Oryzias latipes: one gene and its partners. The protein of the gene in region 1 interacts with the protein of each later gene in a biochemical or structural test. Links are inferred from orthologs where the notes say so. Each region holds a gene or a part of one and is shown on either strand. Other genes may lie near its edges.

Evidence for each region. The genes of interacting proteins can lie anywhere in the genome.
Region 2: the proteins of E3 ubiquitin-protein ligase Itchy (region 1) and ubiquitin-conjugating enzyme E2 R1 form a complex in vitro, tested with the Homo sapiens proteins (3 studies listed by BioGRID). The link is inferred for Oryzias latipes from reciprocal best matches to the Homo sapiens genes ITCH and CDC34.
Region 3: the proteins of E3 ubiquitin-protein ligase Itchy (region 1) and hnrnpul1 form a complex in vitro, tested with the Homo sapiens proteins (2 studies listed by BioGRID and IntAct, with this or other methods). The link is inferred for Oryzias latipes from reciprocal best matches to the Homo sapiens genes ITCH and HNRNPUL1.
Region 4: the proteins of E3 ubiquitin-protein ligase Itchy (region 1) and spartin form a complex in vitro, tested with the Homo sapiens proteins (2 studies listed by BioGRID). The link is inferred for Oryzias latipes from reciprocal best matches to the Homo sapiens genes ITCH and SPART.

The regions. Positions count from the first base shown.
Region 1 is NC_019865.2:2,027,175-2,030,674, forward strand, and holds part of E3 ubiquitin-protein ligase Itchy, read right to left. Parts: intron 3,462-3,500; coding exon 3,320-3,461; intron 1,739-3,319; coding exon 1,614-1,738; intron 1-1,613. UniProt on the Homo sapiens protein: Acts as an Acts as an E3 ubiquitin-protein ligase which accepts ubiquitin from an E2 ubiquitin-conjugating enzyme in the form of a thioester and then directly transfers the ubiquitin to targeted substrates.
Region 2 is NC_019875.2:22,330,713-22,334,676, reverse strand, and holds the start of ubiquitin-conjugating enzyme E2 R1, read right to left. Parts: upstream 2,801-3,964; 5' UTR 2,194-2,800; coding exon 2,008-2,193; intron 1,925-2,007; coding exon 1,838-1,924; intron 1,753-1,837; coding exon 1,655-1,752; intron 1-1,654. Other genes in the region: cactin, read left to right, coding at 3,366-3,637. UniProt on the Homo sapiens protein: E2 ubiquitin-conjugating enzyme that accepts ubiquitin from an E1 ubiquitin-activating protein, and catalyzes its covalent attachment to other proteins by an E3 ubiquitin-protein ligase complex. In vitro catalyzes 'Lys-48'-linked polyubiquitination.
Region 3 is NC_019871.2:3,002,468-3,006,621, forward strand, and holds the start of hnrnpul1 (heterogeneous nuclear ribonucleoprotein U-like protein 1), read left to right. Parts: upstream 1-1,354; 5' UTR 1,355-1,453; intron 1,454-1,921; 5' UTR 1,922-1,958; coding exon 1,959-2,184; intron 2,185-3,169; coding exon 3,170-3,448; intron 3,449-3,550; coding exon 3,551-3,743; intron 3,744-3,862; coding exon 3,863-3,936; intron 3,937-4,154. Other genes in the region: opa3 (optic atrophy 3 protein), read left to right, coding at 365-699.
Region 4 is NC_019871.2:8,294,728-8,298,719, reverse strand, and holds the start of spartin, read right to left. Parts: upstream 2,801-3,992; 5' UTR 2,673-2,800; exon of another isoform or gene 2,575-2,672; intron 2,144-2,574; 5' UTR 2,140-2,143; coding exon 1,339-2,139; intron 1-1,338. UniProt on the Homo sapiens protein: Lipophagy receptor that plays an important role in lipid droplet (LD) turnover in motor neurons.

The sequences.
Region 1 (3,500 bases):
ATATGCTCATCAAAGGCTAAATGTTGTTAGCCCATGTTAGTCTTCTCCTAGCCCTGCCTTCTTCCGGGTCCGTTCTTCAACAGAAAAAGCACTGACCACATGGATTAAAATTAAAATGATGAGCGAACAGGCACTTCATAATAACATTAATAAAAGCACGTTTAGAAGATAATCTCGTATATTACGGAGCTGCCAGATATCTATGTATGCAGCCTCTCAGTGGAACTCGTTTCCTCTTCCGGTCTTTCAAACACTACACAAACATTTGTGAATGATTTATTCCAACCGAAATTGTGACCCATGTGAACGTTTGTTATAATCCGAAAACGTTTTTCTGGGCCCACGTACACAGTTGGATTCTAATCCGACCATTGATCCGATCAAGATATTTTGCACATGAAACCGGGGCTTATGGTGTCGACTCGCAGCGTCGTGGGGGCGTGGCATCATGATGGTGTCTCTTCATCGTGATGTCAGTCAGCCATCACGATCGGCACAACCCTAATCCATCCCTTTATGCATTTGACCAATCGGATGGAGCCCTTTTATTAGATGTTCGCCTTCAATGTAGACAAGGCTCACTTGGAGTATCATTTAAGGAATGTCGACTTGTTTAATTTAAACTGTTGGATGTTTTTGGTTATTTTGCTTTTTTGTTCATGTATCTGTATTATATCGTCATGGCAATATTGATCACTAATATCGCGAACTTTCCTTTTATCGTGCCCTGTCTACTGCACAGAATGAGTTCACATCTTACCAGATTTACATAAATCTTCAATCAGATCTTTGTTTTCTAACTGTTATACTTGACTTAATTTTCAATGGAGGTTTGAACTTTCGAAGGGTTAAGAGGGTTGGGGAGGGAAAAGTGTAAAAAAAATGTTCCTGCCTGTCTGAGAAAAGTGTATACAGTGTGTAGTGATGGGAATTAAAGCCTTAAAACTTTTTTTTTTTTAAAAAGCACCGACTATATTGCGGGTTTCACCTCACACAGGTTAATTTAAACGAGGGACCACTGTATAACCAAAAACTACACCGAGTTTGTTGAAAAAAACACTAAAAACTGTTCAGATGCTCAGAAATGATGAACCATGTTGACTGTTGTCTGACTTGTAGCCCATTGTCTGCTCTGTGATCCAGGGAAAGACATTTGGCTGTAAGGCGCATTAGCATAAACAGCTTCAGGCATTAATTGGTGTCATTGCTACTCTTCTACAACAGATGTGCTGCAGGAAAAGCCTTGGGTGATCAGGAAGTGGTGCATCTACCGAAGAAGACTGCTATGAAACAAAGCGAGAGAGTTTTTAGAGATGCCAATAAAAATCTAGTTTTCAAGTCTGATAAGATGAGCACATTATGTAAAAAGCAAAAAACCAAAGTGAATGAGTTTCAGACATCCATCCAGTAATGGGCCAACAAAGCTGAGCTCTAATCTACTTATTAGCTGGCTCACAATGACATAACAATCCCACGGGCCCTGAGGCTTTCTCTCCACAGAAGTGCGTACTTTTTATTCCATTTAATTCCATTTTAATTCTATAGCCCAACATTACTATGTTCTAATGGGTTTCATACACTAAGATTTGGTCTGCGCGTTTCCTTCCACTTACTTTTCATGTTATTAGACTTCAGTATTTCACTAATATCCAGGGTGGCGATGCCAAGCAGCACGTCAGACTTCAGCGGCTGGTAGCTCCACACCCGAAACACCAGCTTGCTGAACGGGGTCACGATCCTGTTGGGGAAAAAAGGGGTTACAAATCGTTTAACAGCATAAAAAAACAAACTTTCTTTAGCTTTGAGTGAACGGATAAAGTGTTGCTTAAGTGAATAATTTACTGTAAAACCCAGAAGCTAAACCAGGACAGCAGGTCTCTGTGACATGACAGCTGTTAATCCAGCGCCCTAAATGCCTGCAGAAGAAAACCGTGATCCTGTTACATGCTTTGGAAAACACATACTGTGTTTTCACTGACAAGCTATTTATCAGCAGAGTGTGAGATTTATGATGTATTTAAATGGCAACAAGTACAACCTATAAAACTTTAAAGTTTATATCAAGATTAATAAAACAAAGTGGTCAACAAATCATTACCTTCATAGGTAACCAAATGACCTAGATTTCATTTTTGAAGTGTTTTTAATGTTAATTGTATCCGTTTATAAATTTGTTGAACTCATTCTCATGTTTATCCTGAAAATAAACATTTATAACAGTGAATATTACCCACATTCATCATAAAAAGGAGTGAAAAACGTGCGAATTGCTGCTTTTACTGTCCTTTTCAGAGACTTTTGGTTGTGTTCTTCCAGAAGAAACAGTTTTTAGGAACAGTGTTGCCAACCTGCACTGATCCTCATCTGTCACATGCTTTTCCAGAATTCGTTTACCCAAAGAAAAGATTCACAAATTCTTCACGAATGACTTGGTTTTAAACCAAAATCCATCCAAAAATCCAGATGTTTTGAGCTCTAAAGAAGTGCACCACTTTTACCTAAAGGCTGAGAGTCAAACCAGTTTATCCAGACAGCTGGAATATTTAGAAAAAGTTCAGCTGCTTCCATTTAAGGTTTTTAAATTAACACTTTCTTCTTGACATCACCAACACAATGCTAACTGATAAGTCCATTTTAAAAACAAACTATGGCTAAAATGATTTAAAAAATGAACATTAATGAGCTGTAAACCTTCAAAAAACAGTGAATCTTTATCAAAGTCCCACTCCCATCATCTTTTGATCAGTTTTCAAAGCGTCCCCAGTGTTTCTAGGACATAGTTTCTGCAGAGCAGCAGAAGTTCCCTAGAAATTCACCTCCAGGTTGTAGGTGGGTCTGTTGGTGCAGAGTAACCCCACCCTACTTCGCCTTCCTGCCACTGAAAGCTTGGTAAAAGGAGCTTGTGGCTCGCCAAGCATATTTTCCACGTCACATATACGCTGTTTTTCAAACTGCATTTTTCTTCATCTGCTCCTGATTCACAAGGACTTGAATAAATAAATACTCAGAAATGCAATTTGAAGCTTAATTTTCCATATACATGTCTTCCATCATGAGAAATATGCTACAAGAACATGTTAAAAACAGGATTTCCATTGTAGTGTCTCTCCAAATACTTATGAGCTTTATGAAACAACAAGCTAACGACATTTAAAACATTAGGATGGGTATTTATTCAGAGGTTGATCACAGACTATGAATAAGACTGAAAGTGAACTGAAACGGTCCAACTATGCCTGAATCTTTATCGGTCAGCCATACTGACTGTTGGAACCAGCCTCCTATGCTGAATTTCTGTTTTTTTTCTTCTTCTACTTACACAGTGAGTGGTTGCTTCCACTTGGGGCTGTGGGTGTTGTTGCATCGTTCAGTTTTCTTGCATTGGCCGTCAACTGACAGTTCCACGTAAGGACTGGGACCAAACCAGTTCTTCTTGTTTTCTCTGAGTTTAGCTGAAAGCACTGGAACAGAGGAGAGACGCAGCATGATGAACAGTCCGA
Region 2 (3,964 bases), on another chromosome or scaffold:
GGAACATCATATTCTCGCATAATCAGAACTTTTTAGGTCATTGTTTTCTTACTGAAAGATAAATGTGACACAACCATATTATGGAGATTATAGCGTGTAAGCAAATGATAATTACATAACTCCAACATCAATGAATTTTTATTTTGTAGGAACAAAATCCTAATTCACAGGAACCATTTCATTCTTTGTTTACCCATGTCAGGTCACGGTAAATTATTCTAAAAAAATTGCTGTAATAACTATCAATAGAAAAAATTAAGGTGCCTGTTAAAACAGCTGAAACAAGTTTGAGTACTTACATCTTTTTGTGGAACTTTTTAATGTTGTTGCAAAACTCTGATGCAAAAAAAGGTTCAATTTAACCATTTAATTCTACAATCTTGGTACTAACGTTTTTAATAATCCAGGATAAAATATTCCTAATTGATTGTATTACTTCATTACAATAGAAGCAGGGATTATTCTACAAGAAATTTTAACGCATAAGAAGATTATTGAGTGTGCAGAGCAGTGTGAAGGTGGAATATGACCCCTGCTGCTAATGTGATTAATGGCATGTGTGGTCTCAACTCAAGTCCACAATTCCAGGTCTATAAAGTCCACTCATCTTTTGATTTATTTTCAAAGTATTCCTAGTGGTCTTTTAATTATGTTTATGCGTGTATTAGCCATAATCCAAAAACCTGTGTACTTTTTTTTAAGACATAGTTTCTGCAGAGCGGCAGTACATTAGAAATTCACCTCTGAGATGTGGGACCGTTGGTGCATAGCAACCCAACCCCCCCCCTTCCCATCATCCCTTTGTCTACACTCTCTCCTGCTAGCTTACAGCCCTTTACAAGCCAAACCAAGCATTAACAGTGCGACAAAAATACTGAGCAATATCAGAGCTATCCAGTTGTACAGTTTTGAGTGAGATGCCAGCTCGGATGAGGAAAATAAAGATGCATATGGATCTAGGCATGGGAGAGTTGTGGAAAAGGAGTGGTATGTCTTGTGTATGCAAAGGTTTTTATTTGTACCTATAGTCTCAAAAACTGCTCTGATGTTCATAAAAGTCACAAAAACCAAAGTTATTGTAATAATTTAAAACTATACAGCAGCAGTCCATCCGTAAGGGGCCAAGAGGATCTCAAATATGGGGTTCTGTTTGAGCTAAAAAATATGTTTTTGCGTCCACTGTCTATGTCTACTGAACAAGTTTATTGAACATTGGTTCATGTCTATGTAATACTAAGCAGTATCTTCTGCGTGCCCCGTGCTTGTTTGATTATTACAATGCATTTGCTTTCTGACGGCTTTGGCAAAATTTGACAAGCGACGCGACATGGGAAAACGACGTACCTAACGACACTAGCAACGGTTGCTAAGGGCTTTCCTGACAACGTAGTGAGGCGATATGGGGAAAGTAATAATCAAAGAAGCATGGGCACGCAGACGATATTGCTTTGTAGTACATAGACATGAACCAATGTTCAATAAACTCGCTCAGTACACATAGACAATTGACCAAAAGACACAGACAAAAACATATTTTTGGCACAAACAGAAACCCCATACTCACAGGACTCTACTTCAAATAAATTATTAAAGTAACCAAAAAACAAAGAAGGGAGGAGACCAGAGAGGAGATAAGAGTGAGGGATCTGCTGACCGGACATTCTGGGTGGGGTTCCATCTCTCTGAGGGCAGCTCTCCACTCTGTGGGTCATCCACTGGTGGATGCAGAATAGAAATGCACACGTCTCCATTCTAAAAGAGTGGAAAGAAGGTCATTTGCTGCAGCCACAACACAAATAAAACACAATATTACACTGTAGTCATTGTGATACAACACCTCATAGATGTTGGGATGCCACATTTTGGTGAGGAAGCGAAATGTTGGTGGGGAGTATGGATAGTCTATAGGAAACTTGATGCGAGCCTAAAAGAAGAAATCCATTTGTTGTATTTGTCTTATCGTTTGAGTTTAGCTCATTATATTTTCTTGCCATTTTCACTTCTTACCTTAAAGTACCCCCCTTCATAATGAGTGTTTGGTGGTCCAAAAATGGCCACTTCCCAGTTGTATAAATCAGCTTCGTCCACGAGAGTGATTTTGAATCCCTCCACAGGCTCCTCCTGGAGGCTCTTCATCTCCAGCATGAGAGCTTTCTGTGAGCTGGCGACATGAGAGGAGTCGTGTTGCGCCATTCTGCTTCGTTTGGTTTTTTGAGGGGATCTTAATTCGACAGCCGATGCTTCTGTTTACGAAGCTAAGTTTGATATAAAACAGTCGAGCGACCCACAACAAGTTCTGCGTTTTCTACCTCCAAAAACAATAAACACAGGCCGAACCTATGGCTATAATGCTGATGTGCACAAGCCAAACAATACCTTCTCTGCTCTAAGATCCCAATAACAACGTGGGAATATCAACACTCACAACGGCTGAGTTAACCGAGACATTATAACCTACCAGCACCTAAAGATTTAGTCAATTTACCAGGTTAACCGCGCATATAAGCCGTAAATCTAATGGTTGCTGCTGGCTAATGTGGCTAATCAGAGTTACCGACCAGCCGTAGCCGATGATCTCAGCACAGAAACAACACTTACTGCACTTTAGGAAGCGAGACGCGTTTTCTAATTTAAAGAGGTACTAAACTACAACGCTGAAGACACTAGCAACAAAGTACGTTTGTGCTGCCATCTGAGAACACGATTAGGAAAGACTGTTGCTGAAAGGACTCCCCTGCACTCTGAAAACAGCCAACTCCCTCTGGTGTATGGGATTTGTAGTTCGGTTTTGTGCATTTTATCATTAGAAAACACCTTTCCTGTATTTAAGACAGAGTATGCGGAAAATATAAGCACTTATAATTATTTTACCTATAGAAAGAACGTTTAGCTTGACCAAAGTATTACTTTTGTTATCGAAAATGTTTTCAGAGGGAAAAATGAACTACATTCGCCTGACTTCGTAAGGACCCCAAGTGTTTTTCTTCTTGTTCAACAACTATTCAAAATGTTTTGCTCATTTGTGGGGGAAAAAACATTCAAGTTGCTTTATTATTATTTGTTCGAAATGTTTTGTGTAGTTAAAACAAACAAAAAAAAATTAAATAATTTTTGCTATTTGAAATACTTGCCAATAATACTCGCTAACATGACGTCATATTCGTGCGCACTGTGGATTTTTTTTGACCGTATTAATGTTTTTAAGTTTTATAAAATAACATATTAAACAACAATTAATAGTTTGTAGCATTGACAGTTGCAACTTTTGTGCAATATTTATTTTTCATTGTAAACGGTTTCAAGCTATTACCTCTTATTTACGCGACACAGTGCCTTTCGGACCCCGCACTGTTAGCAAGTTCGTAATGGGATCCAAATCTCGACGTAGGTCCCGGTCAAAATCAAGAAGCGGGAGCCGAAATCGGCGAAATAAATCCAGAGAGAGCCGCTCTAGATCACATGACAGAAGAAGAGGTCGCGGCAAATCTGTGGAAAAACGAAAAAGCGGCCCAGGAAGATCCAGCAGCAGCGATGCTGGGTCTCCTTCCCGAGGGCGGCCTCGACATCGACGTCGCTCTGGACCCAGTAGTGGCTCCGAGAGCGACAGGCGAAATAAATCGAAGGGCCGATCATCAAGGTGAGCTGGACATATCAAATATAATATATAGTGGCAACAATTTTTCATTAACATTTAAAAATGATTTTCATCGACACATAAATTAACATTCTAACAAAAAACTCCAAAACAGTATCTAGTTAACTGTTTATTCTATGTTATTATATTTTTTATAATCTCCAAAGTTAAGTATTTCCTCTCATGGTATAGTATATATACATAGTTTTTCCTTTGTCACCCCATTACCTGCGTAAACAATTAGTCACAGGGCAGATTACTTGTTGCAGAGGCTTTTAGGTTGTCTGTTGAAACCTGTAACCCATCACTTTTTGAAAGTATTACCTCATT
Region 3 (4,154 bases), on another chromosome or scaffold:
AGAAAATCTGCTTCATAAACTGGCGTGCCTTAATTCTGGTTGACTTTCTGGGGGCGCACGGCACACAAAAATCTGTGTTTTTTTAGTTTGTTGGACAGTTTGTACTCTCCAACTGTTTGTGAATGAGTTTCATGAAGTTTCAGTTGGTTTACTTCACTATTTATCCACATTCTTTTTACTTTAGTTACTTTCTAAAGTTAAAATCTTTTTATTTTCCTTTAACCAGAGAGCCACAATAGGTCTGGGTAAAAGTGCCACGTGTGTTTGCGGAGCTGCAGGTTGCAGACCCGCCCCCCCGCCCAGTTTAAATCACCTGAAACATTTTGTCAAGACTCTGACTTCCTGTTCTTTAATATCCTGACAGTTTATCACTGGATCGAGATGAGAACGAAGATGCGGATCATGGGCTTTCGGGGCTCCACCGTCAAACCGCTGAATGAGGAGGCAGCCGCAGAGCTGGGCGCAGAGCTGCTGGGGGAGGCCATCATCTTCCTCATCGGTGGCGGTTGCATGGTGTTGGAGTACAGCAGGCAGGCTGCTAACTCTCGCCGCAAGGAGGAGGAGCTAAACGAGACCATGATCAGTCTACAGACTCAAATAGGGGAGTTAACACTAATAACAGAGACTTTAGATGCTCAGCTGAGGGAAGTTAACAGGCTGGTTCTCTCCCTTCCTGCCCCTGCTCCCACAAAAAAGTGATTAGAGTCGCCGCTTTACATACTGTTGATCTGTGTGTGTTGAAAGAATGAAACTGTAGGCTATTAGCTTGACTCACTGGGTTTCAGTGCACTTGTGGAGTTTTAACCAGTCATTTGCTCACTTTGAGCTAGTAGTTTTAAAAGCATCACTATGATATTCATAGGGATTCTATCTGGTTGACTTTGCATTCGACATTGGGTGTACAGCGCTGTGTAAAGGTAATATATTTTGTGACATTAGCATATTTCTTCATCTTTTTAATCCAGTGATGCAGTCGGAATGCTGTAAATATTCATTTGCAGTTAAAAGTTGGAAAAACCATAACTACGCATAACATTTCACAAAGTTATCTTTAAAAATGAACCTGTCTGTAAAGTTTCTTGTATTGTAATTTTCTTTTTCTGTCATGTAAAACAAAAACTGGATTTAAAAAAATGGAGTGAGATGAGCTGCTTTACTATGTTGTTAATGTGATATGAAGCCAACAGAACATAAACAAATGCCAAATTTAAAGAGAGAGTATTTTTTCCCTATCTATAATAAAGACAAGGTAGTCCCAATATTGCAACTTTTCACAAAAAGCTATAATTTGAAGTCGGTTTGTGCTCATAACTGAAATTCAAGTTTATTATTGACAACAATTCTGCGCATGTGCAAAGCGTCTGTTTTGAACTTCGACGTAGCGCCGCTAGGGGGCAGTAGTTGTTCTTTCAGACTTCTACAACGTCTTGCCGCGCAACCCGCGGAAAAGCAGGTAGGCCTTAATCTTGTTTTTTAATTGTATTTTGCTTATTCACGGTAATAACAACCGACTGCGTCGTGCATTAAGTTAAGTAAAAGGAAGAGAAGTTATATTTGAACATGCAACATGCAGGTTTTCTGAGTTACTTGTTTTGTAAAAGGCTGGTAGGCACGTTAGCTAAACAAGCTAGGAAGGTTGTTGCTGATAGCGACGTAAATATAGGTCGATTGTAGTTTAATATCAGTTTGTAATTCGAGTGGTAGATTTGCTATGGCATAGATGTGGACATTTAAAGACCACAACAAATGATGTTTCGCGTGTTTAGAATATGTGTATTCCGTAAATGTTCAAATGGATGAGCTAGCTTAGCCACGCTAGCGCGTTCTGTTGGAGGCACCGCGCCGCACAAATGCATGAAAGTTCGTCGCTCCGTTTTAGGCTGTGCGCCTTATTTCCGTTTCCTCTGCCTCGTTGCTCAAGGAAAACACCACACAGACCCCACAAACTGCGAAACACAATGAGTTTAGACGTGAAGAAACTGAAAGTCAACGAATTAAAGGATGAGCTTCAGCGGCGCGGCCTTGACACCCGGGGCCTGAAGGCTGACCTGGTGGAGAGGCTGAAAGCCGCTCTGGAGGCTGAAGCTGATGGGGACGATCATGCTGGAGAGCAAGAGGGGCAAGATGAGTTCAGTGAGGACTTCCAGGACAACGAGGACGGAGATGACGCCCAAGAGCAACAAGGTCAGTCGTTGCTGATCGCTTTTGTGTCGTTTTGAATGGACAGAGCCTCTGGAGGGACTTTACCGCGCTCTGAAACCACCAGTGACATGAAAAAAACAACAGAGGATCGTGTTTCTCTGGCTGTACTTTACATTTCAGACAGGAAAGAAACTTATTGGGTGAACAATCATTTAGAATTTTCCTCTTGTGTTGTTAAAATTTTTATATTAACACATTTTTAAATACATTTGTCCCTTTTTAATCATTTTTTTAGACTACAGTGCAGATCTTTCTTTGTATCCAAAGAAAAATCTAATGTTTTTCATCTTTTTTACAGTGTTTTAATTGTGCCAATCATGTTAATAGTGTTTTGTTTTGTTGTCTTGATGTCCAAGTCAGTAATTGGTGGAACAATGTTGACATTAAGCTTAGAACCTAGAGTATTGTCTCCACATTGTGGTTTTAGTAGTAATACTGATAATGAGACATTAAAAATAATCCCCCCTAAGCTTTCCAAAAGTTCAAGGTCCAACAGAACTGTGATAAATATTTGGTTGTTGTTGGCTGTTAAGTATTTTCAAATTAATTTTTGTGTTTTGCCGTGATCCTAAAGAAGTTTTAAAGAGTTTGTGTTTAGTTTGTCAAGAAAGCCTGTTGCTTATCCGAAGCCATGCATCTGATTTTAAGGCTGGCTGAATGATTTTTAATTTATTTTTTTAAGTTTGTATTTTACCAATTTCTGATCTTGTCTTATATATTCCTCTGTCATTTTCATGTCATTTTTTGGACCAAAACAGTAAACTGTTGAAAGTTTTATTGTTAATTCAGGAGATAACAAAAGTTATCATATATGTTATTTAATGTAGCACTTAAATATTACTATAGTTTATATTATAATTGCTATTATGCTGAAGTGGATTTTTATAGTAGGAAAATGTGTTTAGTGTTTTGATTTTTTTTCAGTTCAGATGAAGGACTAACAATTTAATTATCTGTTTATATTTAGCAGAAGCAGCTGAAGACTATGATGATGAAGATGGACAAGGTAACACCCCTCAAGGGGAAGAAGAAGGCGGGGATTCAGGTGGCTACTACGAGGAAGAAGAGGCAGAAGCGGAGGCCAGTGAACCTCAGCAGGCGCCTGACTCGGGTCTCCCCATGCCCGACTTCACCGCTGACGATGATTTGCAAGGGTCGAGCATGGCCTTTGAGGAAGCGGCCAAGCCTGAGATAAAAGTGGAGGAGGAGGTGGAGGAGGAGGAACAGCATGCCAGGAGCACAGAAGGTCATTTTTCAGCCTGGTGTACACACTGATGAGTTCACTGACATTCACCATGGTTTTTTATAGAAACTTGACCCGTTAAAGCAGTCTTATTTTTCATTGAAGAAGTCAAAGTGGAAGTCAAAGCAGAAGATGAACCAGAGCCCGCCGAGAGCCGACCGGAAGAGGCTCCGACAGAGCAGCAGCCGGAACCCGAACAGGTCAAGGTGGAGGGGGACAGAGGTGGGAGCTACAGCCGCAAGAGACACTATGATGAGAGCAGAGGCTACAGCTACTACGAGCACCGGGAGGACAAGAGGTGAGCACATCCTCAACTCCCGTTTTCCCTCTCCTGACTGACACAAACGGGTTTGAGATGAAGGCTGCGCTTCCCTTTTTCCATTCGCTGACTTGTTGAAATGTGTTCATCTTTCATAGATCCCGAACACCACAGCCTCCAGCTGAAGACGAGGAAGAGGGCGTAGACGACTCTCTGATCACCATCGATACGTGTAAGCTATCCTTTTTGCAGCGGGCAAGAACCCGTTGGAGATTTTTTAACAGTGACGGCGCTGTCATTAAATTTAATTTAGTAACATTTAAAAGGTTACTTCAGGTTGGTTGTGTCTGCAAGACGATACAAGTCGGCGACAACTTTAGTTGCAGCATCAAACTTGCCAAAGAGCTGCTTCAGCAACATTTCTACCGTTTTGGATGTTGTCCTGAAGTT
Region 4 (3,992 bases), on another chromosome or scaffold:
ATCCATTTGTTTTTGTTTTTTTACATGTTATTGTGTCATTTTTCTCTTTAACAACATCCATGAACAATCTCCTAGGTCTTCCTTTAGATCCCTAGCTTCCTTTTACCAACATAAACTGTGTGTCTGATCGGGTCTAAACCATTTCAATCTGCTTCCCTTTGTTCATCTCCAAAACTTCTAACACAAGCAGCATCACCACAGGAAACAAGAAGGGGCTCAAATCAGGTCCTTGGTGCACGTTGAAGTCTTCTATCATTTTGAGTCAGCTCAGACGAGGAAAACGAACTCGAAATGCAATTTTGTGCTTTCTTCATATATGTCAATCATCAGAAAAATGCCACAAGAACATGTTTAAAAGACCCAAAACAGTATTTTCCACAGGCCATTAAAGAGGGCATGAGGGGGGTTGGGGCGAGCGAGGAGGACGCAGAAGAGAGAGTTCGATGGAGGCATTTGATTTGCTGTGGCGACCTTTAAAAGGAGAGCAGCCGAAAGACAAAGACGACTGCTGTTTTGCGACGACTGCATGCCCAACAAGATTACAGAGCAAAACAGTGTAAGCAGGGTTATGCAATTGGCCTCATGCGCTTCCCTGATGTCACTCAATGAATACCTGGGAAATTCCCTATTAAGTATTCAAGTCTCAGTCTCATGATCCTCTAGTTTAAAAGAGGGCTGTGGCACAAAGCATTGCCAAAATACATTTCTGGCCACGAATGCATGACTTAAATCTCAATAATAAATCTAAATGTCGGTTTCTGTTAATGGATTTCTATTTTATAAATAAAATGTATCTTCACAGTGTCATATGTGGGTTTGAGCCTTGCATTGATTGAACATAAATTACGTGTTAATATAGTCTGTCTGCAGTTTACAGTTCAGTATTTCCTTGATAAACTGGTTAAACAGGACTGGTAATCTAAAAAAAGAGGTTTTAAAATGTTGCAATTCTATCTGTAACTCCACGTGAACAGTTAAGAGTGACATTGTAGTGATTTGTTGTTTGCTTTTAACTAGGAGATCAAACAGTCAGTGGAATAAAGGGACAGAGTAAACAACTAAAATCATTCAGTCCACAGGGCAACAGATTTTAATCTCCCCTATCTGTTGCTCCAGACAAAGAAACCTTGATTAGCTTAGCATAAATCCAAGAAAACTGGATCAAAGGGCAAAAGAAAGACTGAATCAAGCTGGTGAAACTTCAGTGATGACATTTCACCACCTGCTATTGCATCAGACAGCAGTGAGGGTTTATTTATCATTGCTTTCTGGATTTAGATAAATGAAGACACTTTAATGCTTCCAACAAAGTGATGCTTGCTTTCGCTTCTGTCCTACCTGCAGAAATGCTGGTGGGCGATCGGGCATTCCCTCAGAGCGATCATCTGTAAACCTCACCAATCGTAGGAAACCTGGGTATGATGGAGCGCTTACTTGTCCATCAGGAGTGACAAAGAATATCTGAACACCATTAGGAATGTAAATCAGCTCCTCTCCATCTTCTCCTAGACTCTGGGTGGAAGGTGTAGAGATGGCTGAACTATTGTAGAACTCATCCCCAACCAGCGACATCTCCCCTGATTCTGTTCCATAAGAGATGGATGTGTGGCCCTCCGCTGCCTGGGGGGAGTAAGCTGGAGGTGTTTGGGTTGGAAACATAAGGTGTAGGTTTGGAGCCATGCCTCCTTCAGCTCCAAGAGGTGGTCCATTACCAACATTTGGTGGATTTGGCCTCTTTGGCTTCTCTTTGGTCTGGAGCTTTGGGTAAAGACCATTTGTAGGCAGATCACTACAATCAGAAACACTAGTAGAACTCTCCGTAGGTGCAGACTCGAGGTCAGAGCTGGTCTCTAGAATGGCGAGGCGAGTTGTGATGTTGTTCAGGGTCTCCTCCATCTTCTGCTGCATCTGTCTGGCTGACTCCCAGGCGCTGCCACCACACTCATCCCCGTGTGAGGGCACGCTGATGGCCCTGAGAAGGTGTTTCCGGCCTTGCTTGTAAAGCTCCAAGGCTCGTGTCTTGTCTCCAGCTTCATCTGCAGTGAGTCCTTCATTGATGCACTCAAAAGCCCTGTCGTAGCCATCTTTGATCACCTGAAGTCTTGCATTATCAAACGCATCTTGTTTAGCCTTTTCCATCCCCCTAAAAGAAGAGTTTAAACGCAGCGTCAGAGTACAGGTTAGCTTGTAAAAAAAAAAGAACTGTAAAACAGACAAACGACAAACATTTACACTTATTTAAGCTGCACACATTGAGGCAAAAGGGTTATTTTGTTGTCTACGCCACATAACTTGCAAGCAGGCGAAAACACATTAGGCACCAGGCACGTGACTAGAATGAACCAACAAGACTCCAATTGCGTGACGGTTAATTTTTCATGCTGTCTATTGCGGACGTTCGCTAAACTTAAAGTGAGCTATATTGTAGATAAGGTAATTGTATACAAACGACGTCAGATGCTCACTTATAGCAACGTATTTTTTTTAATAATTTCCTGTAAGAGACCGTGAGCTGTCAAAATAACACTGCTGACATTAGCTTTAGCTTCGTTTTAGCTACTTAAACTGACTTACTTTGCGGCCGTAATTTGCGACGACTCACTAACTATCTTCAAATGTACCTTTTCTGTTTTAGCTATTAAAAAGAAGGCTAAACCCACAGCTCCACTTACCAACTGAATGGACTTTATAGGTCAGGCTCCTTCAAAATTGTGAAAGGCTTTAAAACAACGTCACATCCCTTTGTCGACCTTTCAAAACAAGAGTATCCTTTAATGAAGAATCTCAACTTTGTTGTGATATCAGTTTTGTTTTGAAAGTATTTATCGGAAGTTGTTATTCACACAACTACGCCATCGTCTGTATGCCTGTCAAATTAAAAGTATGGAAGAACATCCACAAATTCTAGGTTTGATGAATTTCAACTTGAAAAAAATAAAAATGTAATTCTTAGTTCTCATAATTTTAGTCAAAATGATCATGAGAAAAAAGGTTTTTATCAATGGCAAAATGTCATACTCACTAAAGCAAATTTGCTATTGAAAACTAAATTTAAAAAATATTACTTAAGCAATATTTAAAAACAATTTCTTCAAAAAGCACAACAGCTCAAAAACTAGGGCTGGGTATTACCAATAATTTTCATTACTTTGTTTTGTTATTTTTTTATTTGTTTGTTTTAGTGTTTGTTGTTTTAAATTTCCTATTTTTTGTTTTGTCCAGTTTTTTTCCTTAAAAATATTTCTTTGTACTGCATTTTGAAACTTTATATCTGTATATTTATGTTTTTTTTAACAAGCATTCATTAAAAAATAGGGCCTGTCAAACTGCGGGACATCTTCTACTGCCATCTTGTGGTTATTTATTATTAAAAAATATTACCTAATTTGTTGTAATACTTTAATAGAAATCTTGGCAAGAGAGCGATTTTGTTTTTGGTTTTTTTTCACAACAACCACTATGTCGTTAACTGAATATAGATTTGAATATAGAGATACATTATTTTATTTTAAAAATTGTTTTAATTTTGGTTTTCATCCAACTAAGTTAACGGGTGGTCCTTCTGAAGTGCTTTTCTGGCAAGTTGCTTTTAATTATCCTATTGCTTTAACTTCTATCCAGTTTCTTAACCTGCTTTATCCCTTGAAGGGGTCAAGGGGTCGATCGAAGGCACCTTTGGGCGTATAGGCACATGCACACCCAGAAGCAATTGTTTTTTAACTGTGCCACAATTCAGCCCCATTACTTTAACCCTTGTGTTATCTTATGGGGTCCGTAAGTAAGGTTCAGCGAGGGTTAACATATTTATTTAACTTTTTAATGAAAATTTACAGTCCCCTTTGAACTTTGCATCATTCTTATTGTGGTCTGTTGGACATCAGGGAATGTTACTGACCTCTAGAGGGCAAATAACCGTAAATAAGCGTTTTGACGGAATACTAAAAAAATAAAAACATTTGGCTACTTATGGGCATAAGATTGAGAAGAAAAAA